Linked DNA regions of Struthio camelus. The protein of the gene in region 1 binds, or shares a complex with, the protein of each later gene. Links are inferred from orthologs where the notes say so. Each region holds a gene or a part of one and is shown in the gene's direction. Other genes may lie near its edges.

The links. Proteins that work in one complex are often made in the same cells at the same time.
Region 2: CDHR2 (region 1) and ANKS4B share a complex: the UniProt entries of both Homo sapiens proteins name them as parts of the IMAC/intermicrovillar adhesion complex. The link is inferred for Struthio camelus from reciprocal best matches to the Homo sapiens genes CDHR2 and ANKS4B.
Region 3: CDHR2 (region 1) and USH1C share a complex: the UniProt entries of both Homo sapiens proteins name them as parts of the IMAC/intermicrovillar adhesion complex. The link is inferred for Struthio camelus from reciprocal best matches to the Homo sapiens genes CDHR2 and USH1C.

What each region holds. Positions count from the first base shown.
Region 1 is NC_090954.1:10,026,922-10,034,209, reverse strand, and holds the start of CDHR2 (cadherin-related family member 2), read left to right. Parts: upstream 1-4,284; 5' UTR 4,285-4,400; intron 4,401-4,487; 5' UTR 4,488-4,567; intron 4,568-5,193; 5' UTR 5,194-5,206; coding exon 5,207-5,252; intron 5,253-5,628; coding exon 5,629-5,694; intron 5,695-5,816; coding exon 5,817-5,956; intron 5,957-6,355; coding exon 6,356-6,409; intron 6,410-6,641; coding exon 6,642-6,731; intron 6,732-7,268; coding exon 7,269-7,288. UniProt on the Homo sapiens protein: Intermicrovillar adhesion molecule that forms, via its extracellular domain, calcium-dependent heterophilic complexes with CDHR5 on adjacent microvilli. Thereby, controls the packing of microvilli at the apical membrane of epithelial cells.
Region 2 is NC_090956.1:9,588,106-9,595,850, reverse strand, and holds the start of ANKS4B (ankyrin repeat and SAM domain-containing protein 4B), read left to right. Parts: upstream 1-4,729; 5' UTR 4,730-4,822; coding exon 4,823-4,986; intron 4,987-7,745. UniProt on the Homo sapiens protein: As part of the intermicrovillar adhesion complex/IMAC plays a role in epithelial brush border differentiation, controlling microvilli organization and length. Plays a role in assembly of the complex.
Region 3 is NC_090946.1:20,461,678-20,469,253, forward strand, and holds the start of USH1C (harmonin), read left to right. Parts: upstream 1-4,560; 5' UTR 4,561-4,575; coding exon 4,576-4,644; intron 4,645-4,961; coding exon 4,962-5,029; intron 5,030-7,029; coding exon 7,030-7,173; intron 7,174-7,576. UniProt on the Homo sapiens protein: Anchoring/scaffolding protein that is a part of the functional network formed by USH1C, USH1G, CDH23 and MYO7A that mediates mechanotransduction in cochlear hair cells. Required for normal development and maintenance of cochlear hair cell bundles.

The sequences.
Region 1 (7,288 bases):
GGCAGGGCGCCTGCCTGCCCACGGAGTGGAGATCACCACCCGGCTCCCGCTCTGCCCCCACGCTGGCATTGGCGGCAGCAGCCAGCCTGCCCCTGGTGGAGGGCACGGTCCCTTCTTCATCCCCGCAGCGTGCCCAGGCCACAGGACTGGCATGGCACGTACCAGAGGTGGCTTCAAGCAAACCACGCCTGTGTCACCCCAGGCTGCTCCAGCCCAGGGCCAGTGCCCAGGTGCCCGCCATCACACCACTTCACTCCGAACACACATCCCTCCCTTAGACCTTCATTCATCCAGAAAGCAGTGAGAGACTAGGAGGTGGTTCCTGTCCTGCTAGTGCCAGGACAGACCGCAGGTATAGCTCCAAAGGGACAGCCCAGCAGCGCCAGCCACAAGGTGCTCTGACCTGGCTGAGCAAAGCCGGTGATGGACAGACCATGCTGCATGGGCCCTAACCCTGACCTCTGCCAGTCTGCCCGAGGGCAGGCTAGCATGGTCGTGGTCACATCTCTGCAAGGCGGCCTCAGGGTAGGTCCCTGGGACACAGGAACAGCCACCAGTCAGAGCGCCCCAGTTCCAAGCAAGGTTTGGGGGGGACAAAGCCCCGCACCCTGGCTGCGACTCCTTGTGCAGCAGGGCTCTGTGCAGAGGGGAGTCACACCTGAGCCCAGGCGGCTCCCGCCTCCCATGCCAACACCTGCCCCGGCCCTGCTGGCACTGCCACCCGAGCAGAGGGATCGAGACGGGCTGCAGGGCACCTGCCAAACCAAATCCCACAGCCCGAGGGACTTGCAGACGCAGAGCACAGCTCCTGCAGCCTGGCCAGCTTCAAAGCAAACACCCAAAGGTGACAAACAAAGGCACCCAGCAGGCGCTCCGCATTAGCAGTATTTTTAGACGCCGCTATGGAGCCGGCCTTATTATTTTCATTGCAACGTGCATAATTACCCACCATGCACTGCAGTGACATCAGACGGCAGCCTGCTCCCATCCGACAGCCGGCAAGGCCAGGCTCGCGCCTGCTCCTCCACCCATCGCCCCGGCCGCGCACAGCGCTCCTGCCACAGGGACGGATTCGGCCTCCGCAGCCTCTGACCTGCGCATCTCCCCAGGGCACGGCGTCACCGCTGCACGCGGGAGCTGCGCCTCCCAGGGGACTCGGGTCCTCGGGAGCCAGTGAAGGAGCCAAAACAGGTGCAGGTGGCACAGGGGAGGTGGGAGGAGAGGCCGAACGGGGCAGCGACGCAGGACGGTGGCGAGGAGGAAGGCACAGGACGAAGCTCCGGAGCTGCAGACGCGCGGGCGAGACCCGCTCAGCCGGCTGTCCGAGAGGCAAGGGGCTGGTGCAGGGCTCCCGGGGCGCAGTCTGCATCCGAGATGCCGCAACAAAACCAAGACGCACTTGTAGGAAGACGTGCTGGCCCGACAGCGGAGAGACAGCATCCACCATGGCGCAGGCTGCCAGCAGAGTTCAGCCGCTGAACTTCTGCCTGAGGAAGCAAACCCTGGCGCGCAGCACCAAACCCAGAGATCCTGCAGGCCTGCAGAGCTCAGGCTGTAGGTTTCGCACATCCCAAGCTACGGATACCCCCATTCCCACACAACCTCTGTGGGACGAGGCTGCTCGTGAGCCCAGCCTGGCACACGCACACCGCCTGCGATCGTGGTATACGCAACACCGTCTAAGGGTTTATTTATTTCCAAGCAGCTTCTCCATTTACGACTTTCTCAAGAGTTTCGCCACTTCCCCTTCCGTCCCTCCTCACGCAACACGGCGCTCACCCCGCGCGGGGCTGGAGATGACCGATTTCAGGTCAAGCAGCGCCGCGCTGGGAACGGGAGCGGCAGACGGAGCACTTTTATCTCGTCCTATAAAAAGTGCCCTTCGAGTCAGCGACACAAAACCCAGCCTCGACGCAAGCCAACAACTCCTGCGCAGCCGGAGACACGGCGGGGCAGAAACAGGGCGGCCCGGCAGCCCCCGCAGAAGGGACGAGAGCGCCGCTGGGCTCCAAAAGGAGGCGGGCGCCCGGCGCAGCCCGCCCCAGCTCTGCTGCCCTCCCCGATGCCCCGAGCAGACCCGAGGCGCCCGGCGCGGCCCTGCTCTCCCTGGGGGGCTCCCAGAGAGCTGGGGGCTTTTTCCGCCCGTCCCCGGCGGCAGCCACCCCAGCACACCCACCGCCTTGCGCCTGCCCCACGCGTCCAGCCCCGGAGCAGCGGGTCCTGCCGCCCCACGCAGCCACCCGCCCGCCGTGCGCCGGCCCCACAGCCCTGCTCACTGCCTTTCGCCTGGCATCAGGCCCTGCCCGTGCATCTGCCACCGTGCACCGCTGCACCGGGCCTGGCCTGCCTCTTCCCGGTGCACCGGGCCGGCCTGCCCCACCCCCTGGCACCGCTGCACCAGGTCCTGTCCCCTTCCTGGTGCACCGGGCCTGCCCCCTTCCCGGTGCATCCAGCCTGCCTGCCTCTTCCCGGTGCACCGGGCCCTGCCCACTTCCCCGGTGCACCGGGCTGGCCTGGCCACTTCCCCGGTGCACCGCGCCCTGCCCCCTTCCCGGTGCACCGGGCCTGCCTGCCCCTTCCCGGTGCACCGGGCCTGCCTGCCCATTTCCCAGTGCACCAGGCCCTGCCGCCTTCCCGGTGCACCGGGCCCTGCCGCCTTCCCGGTGCACCGGGCCCGCCTGCCCACTTCCCGGTGCACCGGGCCCTGCCCCCTTCCCGGTGCACCCAGCCTGCCTGCCCACTTCCCGGTGCACCGGCCCTGCCCCCTTCCCCGTGCACCCAGCCTGCCTGCACCCTTCCCGGTGCACCGAGCCCTGCCCGCCCCCTTCCCGGTGCACCGGCGCTGCCCGCCCCATGCTACCACCCCCCTACCCGGGCTCCGGCCCCGGCGCCGCCGCTCCCGCACCTACCGGAGGCGCCGCCCCCGCCGCTCGCCCGCTCTGCCCGGCGCACGAAGGCCGCTCGGTGCCCGCCCGCGGCTCAGCCCGCTCGCATGGCGCGGCCGCCGGGCTCGGTGTCCCTCCCGGTGCCGGTGTCCCTCCCGGTGCCGCTCCCGCTCCGGCCTCGGCCCGGCCTCAGCCCCGCCTCATGGTACCCCTGCGCCCGCCGCCCCGATGGAACCGGCCGCGCCGCGCCGCCAGCCCCCCCCCGCCACGCGAATGGGCGCGCCCGTCCCCCCCAACCCTACTACGCCCAAGAGCGGCGCCGACGAAACCGCGAGGCGCCGTGCCGGGCCGCGGGGCGCTCTGCGCCGTAATGCTTCGAGCGGCAGCGCACGCGCCCGGCTCGGAGGGCAGCGCTGGGGAGTGTCCGGATCTAGCCCGGGAGGCTCTGCTGGGGTGTCCCAGGCCAGCCCGGGGGGCTGTGCTGGGGTGTCCCGGTCCGGCCCGGATGTTTCTGCTGGGGTGTCCCAGTCTGGCCCGGGGGTCTCTGCTGGGGTGTCCTGGTCCGGCCTGGGGTCTCTGCTGGAGTGTCCTGGTCCAGCCTGGGGTCTCTGTTGGGGTGTCCCAGTCTGGCCCGGGGGTCTCTGCTGGGGTGTCCCAGGCCAGCCCGGGGGGCTGTGCTGGGGTGTCCTGGTCCGGCCCGGGTGTTTCTGCTGGGGTGTCCCAGGCCAGCCCGGGGGTCTCTGCTGGGGTGTCCTGGTCCGGCCTGGGGTCTCTGCTGGAGTGTCCTGGTCCAGCCTGGGGTCTCTGTTGGGGTGTCCCAGTCTGGCCCGGGGGGCTGTGCTGGGGTGTCCTGGTCCGGCCCGGGTGTTTCTGCTGGGGTGCCCCAGGCCAGCCTGCTTCCCCTCACCCCAGCATGTGGGGAAAGTACCTGGTGGGGCTGGATGTCCTGGGGGCACCCTTGAGTCCCCCTGGCTGCACCCTGCAGGGCTGCCCAGCCCCTTGCCCCCTGGGGTCCCCGGTGAAAAGGGGGTGAAGGTGCTGGGACCCCCCCGGCCGGGTGCTGCAGGCCCTCGGGGCTGGGGCTGGCAGGCCCGCGCCCCCGCCTCCCGGCCCCCTTCTGCCTGAGCAGAGACGCACAATCCGCCCTTGTCCCCGGCCGGCCCCAAGTAGGTCAGGGAGGCCGGGCTGAGCCCCCCGAGCTCCCCAGGAAGGAGAGAGGAGCTAGCAGGCACGGGCTGCAGGGCCCCGGGCTCCCGCCCCGGCAGCCACTCCGCTCACCCCCTGCCCCAGCGGGAGCCAGCTGTCCCCGACCCAGGGGACAGGGTCCATCCCCAGTGCCCTCAACCCATTTCAGAGGGCGGTCCCCTCCATCCTGGCCTGCTTGGAGTCCCTCCGCCCCGCCGTGGGCCCTGCCGCGCTCCTGGCACCCGCGGGAGCCGCGGGGACAGCAGCCAGCGCGGGGGGCTGGGGGGCTGCGGCTGAGGAGCGAGCACGGGGCCAGGCCGGACCCGGGAGGTGGGGGATGAGCTCGAGGAAGGAGGAAGGTGAAAATGGATTTCTCACTCCCTAATTCCAGTTAATGATTGATGAACCTGTTTACAGCAGGAGGCAAAGGTCCCCCGCGGTGCCAGGGTGTGGGTGCAGGCAGCTGCCCAGCAGCATCCCCGCGGACCCGGCCGCAGGTAAGGGATGCCGGCCCCAGCCCCCGCGGTCCAGCGGTGACGGGAGGCGGTGGGTGTCCGGCGGCAGAGAAGAGCTGCGGGCCGTGGCCCGAGGAGGGGGGCAGCCGCGGCGGTGTTACAGCTTGTGCCTGGACTCCGAGCGCCCCGTGTCCAGGCTCCTATGGGTGGGACCTGGCACCCCAGGAGAGCAGCAGTCCCATCCCAGGCTCTCCCAAATGGCTGCTGCAGCCTGGGGACACGGGTGGCTCCAGCATCCCAGCGCCATGGGGCTGGGAGGGCCTGGGGGACGCCTGCGTGGGCTCTCCCCAGCAGCTTCCCGGCGGGACAGCCGAACCCCCGGCCAACCGAGCCCTCCGGGGCTTACGGGATGGGCTGTCCCCGTGCCTGGGGGCTGCCCGTGGCCCCAGAGCCCGTGGTGGGCTGTGAACAGGCGCAGCTTGCCCCATACAGATTTGGGGACAGCATGGAGCCTGGCGTCTTGCTCCCCGGTACACTCAGTCCCGCTCAGCTCACCCGAGCTGGGTCCCCCTGCCTGGGGCGCTGCCCCCCAGGAAGGGGCCGGGGCGGCCGGCGGGAGAGGCCGGCTGCTGACCCGGAGGTGCTGGGTCTCCCATGTGTGCCCGCAGGCTTGCCAGCAGGATGGCAGGGCGCGTGCTGGTGCTGTTCCCCTTCTTCCTGGCGGCAGGTGAGGACTTTGCTTGGTGGCTTGCCAGGGTGGGTGGGAAGCGCTGGAGGTGCCTGAGGCCCCCGGCTCTCGTCCTTGTTTCCTTGAGGGCAGCCGGGACCCCCAAAACAGGTGCCCACCCCCTTGGCACCAGTGTTGAGGACCCAGCGGCTATCCTCCTACCCCAGGGAGCAGGGGTGGCCTGGACCTGGGAGGTGGGGGACGACACAAGGAGGGAGGGTGAGAAACAGCAGGCTGGGGGGTTCCCTGGCCCCCCGGGACTCAAAGCACCTCCAGGAGCTGAGCGCTGGGGCTGGGCAGGCTCTGCTGGCTCTGCGGTGCAGGGCCCGGGCAGAGGCCAGCTCAGGGCTGTGCTCAGCACACGTCCTCGCTGCAGTTTCAGGGAACACAGCCCCCTACTTCAACATGACCCTCGTGTACGTGCCAGAGGACCTGAAGATTGGTGAGTGGGGCAGCTTCAGAGCTGCCCGGATGAGGAGAGGCCCTGGGGTGCCGGGGGAGCACCCAGCCGTCCCCCCACACCCGGCAGCCCTGGGCGGGTGCTGACGCTGCCCTTGTGCCCAGGCGAGGAGGCCTTCCAGTTGCAGGCAATTGATGCGGACGGGGACCCACTCACCTACAGCATCAGTGGGTCAGAGGCCTTCTACTTCTCTGTCGAGGCCCACACGGGCAAAGTGCTGCTCAAGAACCTCCTGGACCGTGAGGTGAGGGCAGAGGCCCCGGCCCCGAGCTGTGAGCTGGCATCTCGGGCACTGGCGGGCTCTGGGGGGACAGACAGCAGAGCGAGGAGTCCTCTGGGAGAGCTGCTCGTGCAGCACCGTGGGTCCCTGCCGTGGGGCAAGGCCATGGGCAGCTCCGGGCTGTGCCGGGGGAACCGCCACGGGCTGGAGGCTGCAGGCAGAGGTGCACGTCAGGGAGCCCAGGGCTGGGGCAGGGAGCGAGGGACGTTTGCCACCAGCTCCCTGGCCCCCAACCCCAGCTCGGGGAGGGAGAGCCGGCCAGGGGGAGCAGCGCACCCAGGGGTGGTGGCTGGGAGGACTGAGCCCTGCCTGGCTCTGACTGAGTGTGTGTCTCCATGTGTGTCTCCATGTGTGTCCCCACAGTCCCTGGCCAGGCTCACGCTCACCATCACAGTGTCCGACGGGCAGAACGACGCGGTGAGTGCCGGGGTCGCGGTGTGGCAGGGGGTGGCTGTGGCAGCAGCTGGGGCCAAGCAGGGTCTCAGCGTGGACAAGGACCAGTGGTGAAGGGTGCCGGGGCAACGCTGCGCCGCCGGACGGGTGCAGAGCCGTGGGGACGTGGGGCGCCGGAGCAGCACCCAGCTCTCCTGGGCACCCCATCTCCCTGCCCCTGCTCTGCACCGTCACTGATGCCCGCTGCTCCCGGTAGGTCTCCAAAAAACTGACGGTCATCGTGGAGGACCGTAACGACAATGCCCCCATCTTCCAGAACCTGCCGTATGAAACCACCGTTGCGGAGGTAGCTTCCCACAGGGAGGAGGGCAGGCGTGCGGGGCTGGCACCGGTGGCATGGGTGTGCCGGAAGCAGGGTGACTGCGAACCTGGGAGGGGGTGACTGCGCACCGGGGAAGGCTGGATCTTGGAGCAGCACGTGCCAGGGCTGTTCCTGGGTGGGTGCCTCCGTGCCAGGCCTGGGCGCTGGGGAGGGCTGGGACTCTGCCCTTGCCATGAGTCGATCAGGGAGTGCCTGAGCCACCTCTCCACCCAGGCTGGGGTGAGGCCGGTTCGGGGTGCAGACAGGCTATGGGTCTGAGCCTGACCCTCCCCGATGGTCACAGCCCTGGCTCCTAGGAAGCCCCACAGAAGGTGAGGGGGAACCTAGATCTGGCCCCCCGCTCGGCGTGAGCAGGGACAGCAGCTCAGCCCTGTGCAGCCCACAACACCAAGCAGTCCCACAGGGCCGAGGCACCCCAGGCTAGGGCTGGCGGGGTCAGGCTCAGTGCCACTTCCCCTGCCCTCCTGGGCGATGCCACCACTGCTTGCCTTGTGTCTCCAGAACATGACAGCCGACAGCAT
Region 2 (7,745 bases), on another chromosome or scaffold:
CCATACGCTAGTTTAACATATCTATTTTTATTAGGTTGGGTTTAATTAATACAGTCAGGGAGAAAAAAGGGCTTCAGGTGCCCGCCCTCGAGAGAACCGTGCAAACGAAGTACCTTCAGGCAGGACCAAATCCGACGCAAAGTTAAAACTTACCCAGTTTCCCTGCCCTGATTCACAGCTTCATTAAGTTGGTGGAAAGACTCTCAGACCTGGGGAGCTGTGGATGGTGCTCCCAGAGCCTGGCTGACCCTGGGCCGGTGCCGGCGGGTGAGGCCGGCTGGCGAAAGCTCAGTCTCGCCTCAAGTCTGAGTGATGCTGCCAGCTTGGCGGAAGGCTGCGGAGGCCTGAGCAGAGGCAGCGCATGGTCTCTAAGCAGGAGGAGAGACCGTCCCTGCCGGCTAGAGTTCACTAAGGGTTTTGCCCACCCTCAGATGCCTCGCAGCAGGTTGTGGCTTGTGTTAGGCGAAAGATGGTGTCGGACCAGACAGCGTTTGACAGGCAGAGCGATGCCACTGCCGCGGTCACCACAACTGGATTTTCCCTGCAGCACACGTTAGCAGCTCTTAATAGCAATCGGGCAGTACGTAAGTTTGGAGGATGCGGTTCATCAAAGCGCGCTAAGATAATTGGCTGTTGCTTCATTTAACATGTCTGAATTCAGAGTGTGCGACTTGAGCTACAGAGGAAGCACAGCCGTCCCTCTTCTCAAAAAATTCAGTTCCACCCGTCAGAATTGTTGAACCTGTAGGAATAATTTTGGTCTGCGTTACATAGCTAAACAGTTAATTCATGCTCTGAAGAGCAAAAACAGCTCCGTGGCTCTCATTTTTTTTTGCTGCAAAAGCTTGGCAGGTCTCCTCTCCTGTTTCTCTGCTTTTCTCTTCTACTTCTTTGACTTTCTGACTTTTGGGAAAAAAGGCATTACCCAAGACCAGCGCTGAACACCCCAGAAGCGAGGGCATCGCATACTGACCCTGGAGAGCATGGCTCACGTCCTCTTGGATGTCCTCTTCTGACACACTGGTGGTAGGACAACATTTCAGACAGCAGCGAGAGCAGGGCTCACTTTCCTTCTCCATGAGACTATTTGTAGCACTGCTGAAGTTATTAAGGAAGTTATTAAGGAAAAAGAGGCAAGAAGGAGGCGTCAGCAGCGCAAAAAGCCTCGACGCCAGGCCACACCTGCTGCCGCTGAGCGCTCCCAGCTAGGACACCTATTCCAAGGGCCGCGAGGCCGCGACAAGCAGCATCACTGCTTGCAGGGCCACGAACGCCCCCCGGGCTGCTCGCCCGTTCCCAGCAGGCAGGGCGGCGAGGAGGGGCGCGAGGTGAGGCGGAGGCGCGCCTGAGGAGGGACGCGCCTTTGGTACCGCCACTGTTATTGCCTTCCCAGTTGGGGGATAACCTTTCCCGATGGATGATGGCCTTGCTCCCGACACGACCCGGGCGGGCAGAGCGTGGGGCTGCCCCGGCACCGCCGGACTGGAGCCTGGCTGTGCCCGAGCCGAGCTCACCGCGGGACGGGGTCACGGTCGGCGCCGGCCCGTCTCGCCCAGCCTCTCCGCGGAGACAGGGTCGCTCCAGACTACATATAGCGACAGGATCCTGGGGCGCCGGGGTAGGCGTTGTGCCTGTATCAGGAGTGAAGAAATAAGCTTTTATTGTTGTTTAACTGTCGTCGTCATCTCTGAATTGTGTAACCGCGATCACCCCGTGTGACCAGCTCCGCTCTCCTCTAAGGCCCATTAGTTCCAGTGGGATCTCATTAGAGGAGCGGAGGAGACCTCCCCCTGTACGGCTTTTACCATACCACATTTGCCACTTATAAAAGTTGCGATGAGGAAATGCTGTGCTAGATAAGACCTCATGCAAAACAGATGGCACAACAACATCTCTGTTTTTCTCCCAAGGCATGAAGCAAGACTGGGCTCTGAATTATCTGGAACAACATAACTAATGGTTCGTTATCCGGAACAATATAACTAATGGTAGTCTTCAAATAAGTCTGAATAAACCCTAAATAGTTTGCTTAACTGCTAATGTCATATTTAAGATAGTTCTTAAAAAATTGGAGAAATAATCATAGACGTAACAAAATCCAATAATAAAAATCAAAACTGCTAGTTAAATAATTCATTAGTTTACAACAACACGTACCATCACAATAGGCTTTCTCCTGAGCCTGGTAAGACATTTCAATTGGAAGTGAAATGGTTTGGAAGTTCTTTTCAAACCCCAGAAGAAAAGCTTCATTCTAACTACTCAGGGAGTTTTAAAAGTTCACAATTTTGAGCCTTAGTCTCAGAAGAAAAATCTCCACTCAGGCTGAGAAATTTAACTCTCTCACGCTGAGAAATTTAACATCATTTGCTGTTGAAACATTTATTGCATTTAAATTGAGGTTTTTAGGCGGGGCAAGGATTCACAAATACCAGGATTTTAGAAATAGATGGAGATTTTGTTTGATCTTTTCTTTCTCTTTTGTGATGTCCTTTTTGTGATATAAATAACAAGAGAGTTTGCAAAGTCCTGGAGCACCTCTCCACTTGAAATGGGTTTTGCTTTACATCTAGTTAGAACTTGCAACAAAAGTTTTCCACTTAATGTCAGATGAAGTAACTGTCTTTTAAAATAAACATTTGCACCTATGACATGATAAAGATCACTTTGAGATCACCATTTTGCATGCTAAATTGATTGCCACAAAAGCTAATGAAGGTATTTCTATAGTAGAAAACAGCAGTCTTGAAAAACAGAATACAAAACTCTCCTTTGCCACGAGCTCGCGTTCATGGGTGTTGCTAGTGTTGCTAAGAGTGTGAAATTTAACCGTACGGGAAAAAACCTTGTCTTCTCTCTCATACCAGGCACTGGTGGCATGTGCAATACCTGCCTTCGTGACCCACTCGTGAGAGACTAAGAGCTTACAATACCCAGTACAGCAAATAAAATTCAATGGCAACAAGGAACAGCCAATCTAATATATTCATAACAAAGTGTACGTATCACTGTCTTCATCCTGCAATGTTTTTTCTAGTAGTTGTAAATTTAACCCAGTGCTGAGCCTGGTTAAACAGAAAATGGAATAAATAGCTTTGCGTTTTTGGTTAGAAAAGCGTTGATGGCAACGCGGGGAACTGGAAAAAGGGCTGAAGGCAAAACTGTCTTCTAATGCCAGACTGGAGGCTGGCCTGGGTGAAGCACGGTCCTTCCCCACTTGCCTGACACTGCAGGATAGCACCTGGGGACGGCCGCCGCTGTGGACGACGTGAAGGAAAACCAGGACTTTAGGTTACTCCTATGTAGACGTGTTTATTCAAAGATTAAAATCAGTTACAGGACCTGACTGACTCTCCTTGTCTTCACGGAGGAAAATGTAGGTAAAAGCTTGTTCCTGAAGAGCTCTTCAATCCCTGCCTGAGAAAATAATTAAGCGAGAAAGCCCATTTGGAGAGGTCTCCCACGAATTAGGTAGAGGGCATTATGGGAAATAAATGAGGTTGCACTCCACTCAGTAATTGCACCAATTCAAGACAATGACTTCGTTTGCGATTGCTCGTTTTGCCTCTGTAGCAGGGGACGTAATAAGCAACAAAACCTCACTGCTAATTGCCGAGAGTACGTTCTCTAAGATACAGGTTAATTCAGTTAGTCGTAGAAAACAGCTTGACAAAAAGTAACATTTATCTGGCAGCTGTCATGAATGTGACCAGAATAACAGCCTCCAGCATTTTATTAAGCTATCTATAGTCTCTTACTGATTTCTCCCTCAACTACTGTTCTAAAACTACCATTTTAGTTATTTTTCACTTAGTTATTCTTTTGAATCTCAGAATTAGAATTATGGTCCAATTCTATAAGCCTTTACTTAGAGAGGTAGCTGATAATCACTCAAGCAATTCCAGTGAAATCAATGGGAAACATTTCTAAAGAAAGTGGTACATATGTGAAAATGGGGCCTGTTCCCAGGTGAGGAGCACAGTGGAGATCAGGGCAGTGGGCGCAGGCCCATTGGGTTTCTCCTTCTTGAATTCCCTGTGCCACTTTGCGAAAATCATTCAAATTTTTTCACCTGCAGCTAAAATGGAGATAACAGTACCTGTAAGATGAATTAGTATTTGTCAAGTGCTTTAAGATTTTCTGATGAAAGGGAATTTGAGGTAAAAGGACCACACATTAGACGGTGGTTTTGCCTGCTGGGACTGGTGGACCCGCTGGCCAGTTTTGGCTGAGCGCCACCGCAGCCCTGCCAGGGCTGTTCCCAACCCACACGTTGATCTGCCTACGCAGAACAGCTCCAGGGATGTGGGCAGTTTTGCAGGGGAGAGACTTGTTTTTAGATGTAGTAACCCAATAAATGATAGGTTACAAAGGACTTCACTGGTAAAAATAACTGCTTACAGAGTATTTCATCCTATCAAAAATCAAGGATACTTTATTACTGAGGGTGAAATTTGGTCTTGTTGACATCAACGGCAAATCTCCTTTTCAAGTCAGTTGTCCCAGAACAGTTAGGCAAAAGCAGCTAAGACACAGAGAAGATGAATGAGTCCCCTCTATGTTGAAATAGTCAAATACTGCAGTAAATGGGGAATGCAGAGTCACCTCTCAGAAAATGAAAGCATTAAACATACCGCTGCCTTGTTTCTTAGGCACAGTTCCAGACGACTTTCCTGCTAGGATGAACTTTGCCTCCCTCATTTCCATCCTGAGGATGACGTCTCAACTTGTAATTATTGATTAACTATCCCTGTAATGGAAGGGTGGCTGTCCTGTCTGGCTGTCGTTCAGGCCTGCTCTGGGAAACCAGAAATTACTGAAAATGTCCACCAGGTATCACAAAGCAGCAGCTGATGGCAATTTGGAGCTCCTGAAAGAAGCCACTAGAAAAGATCTCAATACTTTGGATGAGGATGGGATGACGCCCACCCTCCTGGCAGCGTACCATGGGTATCTGGAAGCTCTGGAAGTTGTATGTCGGAGGGGGTAAGTGAATCGGGCTCAGTTTCTTAGAGCTTGTGGCACAAAGCTATAAACAGCGTGTAGCATTTCTAGTGCTGCCAATGTGTCAGACCCAAAAGGCTGAATATCCTGGTAATTTCTTCCTACGGTTGTGTCTCTTCGTTCACCTTGGTTTAGGCCATGAACCTGCAAACAGCCCTGTAGCGGCAGGTCAGCGAAGCCACATCAACAGCCCTGGGACCCTGTCACGGACATGGAGTCTGCAGGCAGCAGTCGGTAGCAACAGGGTCTGGGACCTAATCCGGCCTTAATGGAGGTCAAAGAAAAACTACTGTTTGTCTTCTGTAGAGGTTAACTTACATCTTTGAGAATAACATACTTTGAAACTAGCTCTATAAAGAAATGTCTTGAAACATTTTGAGCAAAAGAGCTCTGTCGTTTGCTTCCAAAGTGCAGTCAATGCCTGTGAAGGTCTAATGCTTTTCTGAGGCGTCGCAACTGATAGTTTTGAGATGGTAATACCTAAAATTGTTATTTCTCTGCTCTTTATATCATTACCAACTACTACCATGCTAAAAAGTTCATGATACTGTTTCAGGGGCTCAGGTAGGATCTTTGCAAACTAAAAAAAAAGAAAAAAATAAAGGAAGGTTTTATACAGGTGTACCTGCTAGTAGTAATATTTCTGATTGGAATCATTTACACATACTACATGCTTAAAATATATTACTGAAAAGGTCACTAGCTCCCCGTATCATCCTCTGTACTCTCTCTGCTTGAAGCCTATCTTTTATGCTGTGGTTCTGCAAAAAGATCTAATAAAAGAGAAGCTTTTCATGTGCAGAGATACAGTAAAGAAAATGTTTTTTTCTGGGCTGAGATGAAGATTAAATTGACCTGTATTTTCACTTGTAATAGCTGAAAGAAGATTAGAGGAAAAAGTTGAACAGCTATTTGGATGTATTTCGGTTTTCTTTTCTTAAAAATAGAACTGAAAATACAGACTATGAATAGGCATGTCATAGATTTGCTTTATAGCTCACTGAGCTCAGGTGTGGTTGTAATAGCACAACAAAAAAGACCTTTGGACTGTATGGTTATTGCTGTGTCCCCAAAAGCAGCAAAAATAGACTGACAGATTTTCAACTTGTATAATTAATACAGCTCCACGGAAATACCTAGAATCAATACAGGTTTGTCTGTGAACACAGACAGAACATCTAGCTAAGGAAACAATAACAAGATAATCTTCAGAATCTGAGGGAAAAATATATAATCTACCATATATGTTGATAGAAGTCACAGCAGATGACACAAAGATCAAAATTCCTACGTATTTGTTACTCAGTATATTTCTGACTCTATTTTTCTTGGTATAGGACAATTTTGGGATAGTGTTGCCCTCAAAATCTTCAAACATATGCATTCACCGCTATTTTAATCCAAGATTCCTTGACACAGTCCATAGACTGAGGCAGTCAGAGACAGCGCTGTAGTCTTACTCATCCCTCCTTGGCCACTGGAGAGAGCTGAACTGTGGAAGATTTTCCCTGTTCTACAGGCCAGCAATGTTTTCTTGTGAGAAAATATTTTGATTATTTTTAACAAATTCTTCCTTTCCTTGAAGTAGAGGTGGTTTCAGGGGTTTCCTGACAAAGGCACTCAGACACAGGATGGTTTTCTTTAGAGTTGTTGCAGATTTTAGGACTCTGAAGCCTGCAACACAGTCGGCCTCTAGAAAATGTGGCAATATTAACAACAACTCCCTTTCATCTTTAAACAGTTTGTCTTCCCAGGCAGTAAGAGATCTTCTCTCTGCCTGCTGTGCAGATACACGACCAGAGGCAAGAGCAAGCAGCAGACAGCAAGTAGCAGATCTGCTCACTTTTGTGAGCACTTTTGCCTCCTTCCTCACACTTGGGAAAGGAGAGAAAAGAGGAGTATGAGAACCCAAAGTAGATGTCAGACTTTATCCAAAGCCGCCCTGAGTAGGGAATCACCTCTCTAGCTTGTGAATTAGTTGAGAGCCAAAGGCTGGAAGGAAAAGAAACAGCAAACGGCTATGAAGAGACCTGGGGGGACGGATGACCCAGCACTTCTAGGCACTCCTGAGCCAGACGCAGGACAACGTAGCCCGATTGCTAAATTGGGGATTAAGGAATCTGGCTTCTAGGGCATGCTCTACCACAGGCAGGCAGTTCCCTCGGGCAGAGCCAGAAAGCAGAAATAGGTACACATTTTCCATATGTCTAAGTCAAAAACTGATCCTGAGCTGTCACCTCCTTGCAGCAATGCCTGCGCTCAGATTTGCTGTTGTTTCTCTGTGTGAGCAGCTCTGTGTCTGGGTCCACAGGGACCGCAGTCTCCCTCATCTCCCGCCTGTGGCATTGTAGTCTGAAGGATGTTCTCAGATTTAGCGCTCCTCAGATATGTTAGTGCTTTTCTCCCAGTGATATGCAAAGCCAGAGATCAACACCTGAAGGAAATTCTGTGACAGGACACACCATTTCATCCATAACACAAGGGCCGTGGAATAAATCCCCCAAGACACTTAAATGTTTAAAACTCCCAAGAGAGGAAATTCTCTTTGTAAATTTGACCCCTGAAGTTATTAAGGATTTTGGAATATGGTGAGTGCCTTGGTTATCGGGCACAGAAGATTCACGTGCTGTTCTGAACCATTGCTAATATTGATCCTACCAAGTATGAGTGAAAAGACTCAAACCAATTCTAATCTGCAGGCAGCAGTTCAGCGTGAAATGAATGCAAGAGTTAAAGAGAAA
Region 3 (7,576 bases), on another chromosome or scaffold:
ATTTCCCGCGCCTCAATACAATCGTGTCAGGAAACACTGTTGCAACAGGGAGTTCGCATTTGCGGTTCTGCGCAGCAGCAGCCGGGGCTCAGGAGCGTCCAGAGCCACCTTAACTTTCCAGCGACGTGCATTTGTGCATGTGCAGTCATGTGCAAATGCGCTTCGTACATGGAGCGGCTCGGTCTGCCTGGCACGTCGTTTTGTCACTTACCTAGTCAAGTAAGTGCTCTGTAGAGCTCATGATCGTGTGAGCAAAGTAAGCTCAAAGAGCACTTTTTAAGGAAATGAATGGAAAAAAAGGTATATACCTTTAAGGGATGCTTTGCCGTAGCAGTTTACAACTGTCTCAGACTAAAGTTTTTAGTGCCTTTTTTTTTTTTTTTGCTAGTGAATGGGATTTCTCTGAGGTAAGTTCCAGAAAAGACAGTAGTGTAATGTTATGTTCTATAGTAGTTAAACGTGAACTGGTAATAAAACCCTTGACTAAAGAATTGTTAGAATGAAGTAGAGGGGCTGCAAATAACCAGCTATATACGAAATGAAGTCCAAAAACTTTAAGGACCTGGATACTGTGTACTTATGACTACTGGTATCTAGCAAGTTATTTCTGCCTTGCTACCTATTATTGTATAACTCCGCAGTGGGTTATGCAACTTGTCTATAAAGTCTGGGCAAACGGTTACCATCTTGAACCTTAAACCTTATTCCTTTTCGTCTCTGCTATAATTCATGAATCATCCTAGTCCCACCCTACTAACACAAGGAAGCTTTATCACCGCCATTCATTGGTGAAAGTAAATATGATGCATGTCTACATGAAAATGGTTTATCTGAGTAAGACAATATTGAAGCAGGTGTTCTCCTTTAAATTGTTTTGTATCAGCATGCTTTTAGTGGCCTCTGTAGAATTTTAATATCTTGTGTACTTGCTTTTGCTGTGTCAAAACAATGAAAGTGCACAGCTACAGGACCTGAGTTTCCGGTCAATTATTTGCCACTTCCATTTTGTTTTTGTTTCTCTATAATTTTAATCAGTCCTCCCTATCAACTAAGCAGCAAGCCTAGAGATTAATTATTCACAAGTATATTGGCCAGTTCTTCCATTTTCTGAAATAGTTTCCAAAGGCTTCGTAGTTCAAGTACAGTTTTATAGTAATTTTTGAAAGCTGATGGATTAGGCTACTGCTACAGTAGTGCCTCACTGTAATAAGCACTTTTGGTGTGGAAAATTCCAGGGTTTTTTTTTCACAGTTTTTATTCTACTAAATAACCTGCTATAGATCTCTTGCAGACTTTTTGTATGTAGGTGCAATTTTTGTGATGATTTCTTATTAATTTAAATGGACAAAACTGTGTGATATATGTAGTAAGAAATAGAGCATAAGCAACTTTTCATATGTATTCTGGGATTGAGAGTTACACAAGAACTATGTGAAAGTTGCACAACTGCTATAGTATCCTTAAATAATCAATATGAAATACCTTTATATTAAGAACATCCATTAAGTGTCTACCTAAATAACATATTGCTTCTTAATAGAGGTATCTGCAGCTGTTTATCCTAGCATTTCTGTATCTGCTACAAGATATGATTTTGTAAGATGTGTAATCACATGAGCTTTGACCTTTCATATAAGAGACTACAAATACAGTACCTAATGTCTTACGCTAAACAATCAGGACACATGTTCATTTTATCAAGTCTCCACACAACTGATTTATTTTTCAGTTGGTAAATTGTGCTGTGTTTTAGAAAGTGCGGCAGATGTCATGCTGTTCACTATTTACTGTTTTGTGTTTCAAGTTCAATGGTGCATGTGTTGAAGCTCACTGAGGAAACAATAAATCGATGTGTCCATTTATGCATATTCATTCTTGCTTACAGAATCTGTCTCTATGTCAGTTTTCTTAAAAACATATTTGAACCTGAAGCCTTTAACAATTACACCGATGTTAAAATGAACTATTAGATTTGACTAGATCAGCAATCAGCTCCGTGTTTTACAATAGCTGGTAGCAAAATGCTTCTGCAGCTAGTGAAAGAAGCCCATAATGGAGAGCTGTGTCATGGCCTGCGCTTATAACCAAGAGGTTTTCTATCACTTGCAGTCTCTGTTTTAATTCCAGATGCTATTTTTATTTAGATAAATGTCTGTTGCATGCTTCTTTGTTTTTAAGCTTGCTATTTCAATACCAATGTAATGGCAATGATGGCACTACTCCAACACTGTGTCCAGATAGAATATCCGAGGAATTACACCAAGAGGTTAGAAACAAGCTTCAAAAATTCACTATGCTGAAGTCAGAGGTTAGGAGAAGTCCATCTTGTTAACCTTGTTGAAGAGATAGGTATGTGTCTTTGTCATAGTTGGTACATTAGCAGAGGAGTTTACTCTCTCTGTGTCATAGTTGGTACATTAGCAGAGGAGTTTACTCTCTCTGTGTGTGTACTTATATAACGCTGAGTACTGGATCCACTCATCATGCACATTACCTTTGTAGGTATGAAACAGAATGGTGTGTTATAGCCCTCCGACACAGAGAAGATGTTTCTGAAAAAATAAGGTTACTCATATTTAACAGACCCTTATGTAAAATAATCAGATAATTTACATACTGGAGGTGGAATAATCTGTCCAAATTTTGCATAGAACTTCAGTTCATTCTAGTCTAAGTTTGTCACTTCAGGATTCCTCTGTAGTCATTGGAGAAAGGATGTAATGAAGTGTCTTCTGCAGATGTCTAGGATGAAGTATCAAGTGGAAGTGCCTGCCTTTATCCATTGACTATGAAGGAATCCCAGTCATATGCTTTAAGCTATATGTCTAACCTACAGATGAGATGAAGCCCTCCTGCTCAGAGTTGGGTAGCTTTCTAAAAGAGATGGTGCAGTTCAACCAGAAGCCATGGGCTTGGTGCACAAATCAGCAGAAATGGTATAAAAGTTGAATATAATGAAAATGAGCAGAATGGACTCTCCTGGGTTTACAGGCTATGAAATCATCTATCCCATGCCTCCACAGTTACATTTCTCAAGAACCAGAGAGCTACTAAAACATTTTACTGGTCCAGGTTACACCATGTTGTCACTGATTTATTGCTTAACCTGTGAGGGCAAGAACTTTTGAGATTTCTGCAGAGTCAGCTTTTAGAAGCTGCTGATGAGACTAGCTAAACTGTATACTTACAATAAGGCTATCCCAAGGAGTTAATTATTTAGAAGAATGGTAAGAGATGGCAGGTGGCTACAATAAAAATGATAGTTGGTGAAATAGGAGGCAGCAGGAGAAGAATGACCTGATTAGAGAGAAGGTCCAGGAAGACTTTCCCAGCAGTCGTGTTCTGAATAGATGAGACAACCAACATCCAGGTAAACTTCACAAGGAAGGAGCAGGTTGCTGGCTTAGAGTGAGAAGTGTGGTAATCAAACAGAAAAGAAAGGCCGAATGTAGTGTGAGAAGAAATTTAGATGCAGACCTTTGCTGCCTAAGGAGGGTGGGAGACGTGCCCACCAGCTAGTGCATGAGAGAAAAAGTACGTTGTTACTGGTTGCTTTCCCAGTCAGAAAGAAAGAAGATGAGGGTTTTGGCCTTTTCTCTGCGAGGGAAACAGGTTGACGTATTTGGTACTCTTCACGAGATCATATAAGCAGGCTTGTACAGAACCATAGTTAGCAGTAGAAGTTGAGTCCCTTAGACCAGGCCCTAAGCTGATTCATGCTGTGAGTATTTTTACTGATGGGAAAGAGAGAAATGAATATTGGACTTAGAAGCAACTCAAGGTGATAAATATAAAACTATGTATGGTATTGGTGAACCAGTCAGTTATGAATGCAAATGTATTATTTCCTTTTAAGGTGTTTTGAAATTCACTGTGAATAAATTAGTTTACTTGCTAGTAAAGCAATCTTGAGTAGGATTCATGCAGTCCTGTCCTGTGTGTAATTTTTCTAGCCTTTAATTGTTTTGAAAGTATTCTCTTCCACAGGATATAATTAGGAGAAAATCACTTATAAGTGGAGTCTGGCTGACTTCAGAGAGCAGAAGGGGTTGAAGAGAATATGAAGCATTTATTTAGTTTAGACTATACTACAAACTGGTGCAAATCTAGAAAGAAAGGAACTTCCTTTAAGTATGCAAATTAGTCTTCAGACTGCACGTCACAGTAATATTAGCCTTTAGGTCACATGTAAATGGTTTTCCTAAACATTAAGCTTGTCTAAAGGAAAATCGTGGTGATGTGAACTCTTACTGCAAGTAAGATCAGTGGGGTTCTTACTGTTGTCACTGAATATAAATTGAGCTCCTCATATCAGATTTCTGTATTTTTTTTAAATTTTATTTTACTGTAATTATCCAAGAACAGGCATTGTAATGTGATACTAGTTTAAGTAAATGTACTATTACTAAGGGAGGAAAGAATAACTAGCCAGTTCTATCACTTCAGAGCTGGAGCGAAGAGGAACAGCAGTGTAGAAGTTTGCATAATGTTTAAGTGAAATACGGAAATCGGTGGTTTGGAGCCACGGAACATAGGTTATAATTATATCAGTGTGATGTTTTTATCTGTGACAGCATGTGCTATGTTAATGAATGGCCAAAAAGGTTTCTGAAAACATTTATTCAACAGTACACTGATTATCAGGTAAGGCAAATGTGATATTATTGTGACAGCATTGCTCTGCTGAGAAGAAATCTAGCATATAGAATGTGTGATTTCAGTATTTACTGCCTTGTTCAATTACTGCAATATTAATTTTAAAAAGTCTTATTGCAAGCTTCGTATTTTGAGATAAAAATACTGTCTTGCAAAAATGTGCTGCTTTATTATTTTTTTTTTTTATAAAAACTTTCCCCTCTTGAAGTCTTTGGACTATGGCTTAGGAATTTGTGAAAGCTTTGTATGTTCAACATTTGTAGCTACTTAGTAAGAAAATTACAATAAAGTCTTTGGATTTTCAGGTTAATCTGCTAATTGACAATGAAGCTGAGAAGGATTACCTTTATGATGTGCTGCGGATGTACCACCAGTAAGATCTAGCTTTATATATGTTTGTGTTGAATTTCACCAATATTTTTAAAATTGAAGGATGAACATTCAATATTTTATGAAAGCAATCTTTCTGAATACCATCTAGAAAATAAAAGTAATAATTTCTAATTCTATGTAACGAAGTCTTATACTTTTGCAGAGTAGCCTGCTGACAAAAAAGGAGTATTTACTGTAGCTAATACTACAGTTTCTTTGTTTTTATGGCTTGTCGGTTTTGTGGACCTTTATTGGGAGGGAAACAAGAATGCAGGTAATAAAGCCGTACTTAGGAAACGGAAGAGAGTATTGATAACATTCATTAATATTTTCAAAGAATGCATATTTATTTTGGTCGGAGGCTTTTGCTGAGTCTGCTTTTTAAAGATTTTTGTAAACTATTCAGATTAAGAATTATTTTCAACTGTTTTATCTGAAAGCTGAAAAAAATTAGGCTGGGCGTCTGTCTAGCATGTTTAACAACTTCGATTTATTAAGACATAATGAAAAGGAAAAACTGTAAGGTGATAGGCCAATTACCAGTCCTTTTACTGAACTGATTTAAACCATGGTTGCTTAGGAGTTATATCACTGCAAATGAGATCAGCATCTGATCCATTGTTTCTCAAAGAATATGAGAATGTATTTTCCACTCATCACAGGCAACTGGCTCTGACGGACATTGTTTCCATTCATATCTTAACTAATAGCATCTCAGCTGAGTGAGATGTAGATGTTTCCATGCAGTGTTTGTACTGAGCTATCATTTTGGGTGTATTCAGCTGCATATCTGATTCTGTTTCAGTCGGGTCTGTCCAATTGTTTCTCCATTCATAAAGCCTGTTGTTTGGAAAGCAGGTTGAGTTGGTAGCTCTTAATTATTTAAAATCTTCTTGCAGTTACAAAATTAACAATGCATATAGTAACTTTTCCTCAATATCCAGAACTGCAACAGCTTTTGAGTAAAACTTCAAATATTGCTGTGAGGATTTATTGATCAAGCTGCTGCTGCTGCTTCTTTCTTTTTCAAATTAATTACAAAGCATTTCAAGGACAAAAATATACACAATTGCTATTGGCATTAATATTTAACATCTGCTTCACTGTGAATAGTGTTTGCAAATCAAAGTATATGGCCTCTAGTCTCATGTAATAGCCATTCCTGATCTGTATTTTCAGTATATATACCTCAAAAATATTTTATGTCAGGAAACCTAATTGGTGAGAGAGGGAACAGCAGATACTGTAGACTAAGTTTAACTGGATGCTACATAGGAATAGCTCCACTTATATAGAGCTGTTCCATGCTTGCAGCTGGGCAACAAAGACCACTTTCTAGAGCTATGAGTATCTCGGTGCTGACAGTATCAAGGATTACTTTGCATAGCTGTCACGAAAACAAATGGCCACAATAGTTTCACTTGTGTAGATTTTGTTAGTGGTTAACTTGGTTAATGACCCTTCAGTTTTGGTTTGTTTTGGTTTGAAACAAATCTTAAAACGGGTCTTTTCTCTATTGGGTATCATGTGATTTCTTCCTGGGTGGAAACAATTGATTAGTCCCCTGAATTCAGGAGAGGAAGGAATTTGTAGCCTTGGAAGGACTGTGAACTAGTAAGGAAATAGAAGTATAGTAGGCAGATATAACTGGTCTGGAAAGTTATTTCCAAACAATCCCATAAGTCTTCTGTTGGGGACTCTGAGAATGAAACTGAAGATGTCTTCTATAAAGATGTGATGTACATCATGTTAACAGATGTAAGGTATAGGAGACTTCAGTTATTTTTAAGGATGTGGTTACTGTTCCTACCTACCTATCTCGTTACAGAGGGTTTAGTTTTTCAAAGACTATTTTGCTTTGGTTTAAACAAGAGCTGCATAAATAACTTTCTTAGTAGGTTGAAGGCATACGCAGATATAACTTGCTCCACACGTAGCTTAAATTAAATAATACTTTGGTATGTTGGTTAGCTAAGCCTTTTTCTCACTGTAATTTTGTAGATCTATGAATCTTCCAGTGCTTGTGGGGGACCTAAAGCTCGTGATTAATGAACCAAGCAGATTGCCTCTGTTTGATGCTATCCGCCCACTTATCCCATTAAAACACCAGGTGGAGTATGATCAGCTTACACCCAAAAGATCACGGTAAGAGAATGCAGATAAGGTAGCGAAGTTCAGATAAATATACGCAAGAAATATTGCCTCATAGAGCTTATTTGAAAAATTACTTGAGCAAAATACCTGTTAGCTCTATAGAGCTGGGCACAATTTTTTGATGTTTGCTATAATTGCCAGAAGTACAGTTTTGAGCTACCTGAAACTGTTTGCCATGTAGTTTAATCTAGTAGAAGCAGGGTATGGGAGTCCAAAAACAAAGCTGAAGCAATCTTTTTTTTTTTTTTTCCTTCATTTTTCCTGCATTTAATAAAAAATTCTCTTACAGCTCTAGCCCTCTAGAAGCATACACAGCTTCCACAGTTGCAGGTGTCTTTCCTTGTTTAAAAAAAAAAAAAAACTTAATGGTTTTAGCAAACACACATCCATCAAA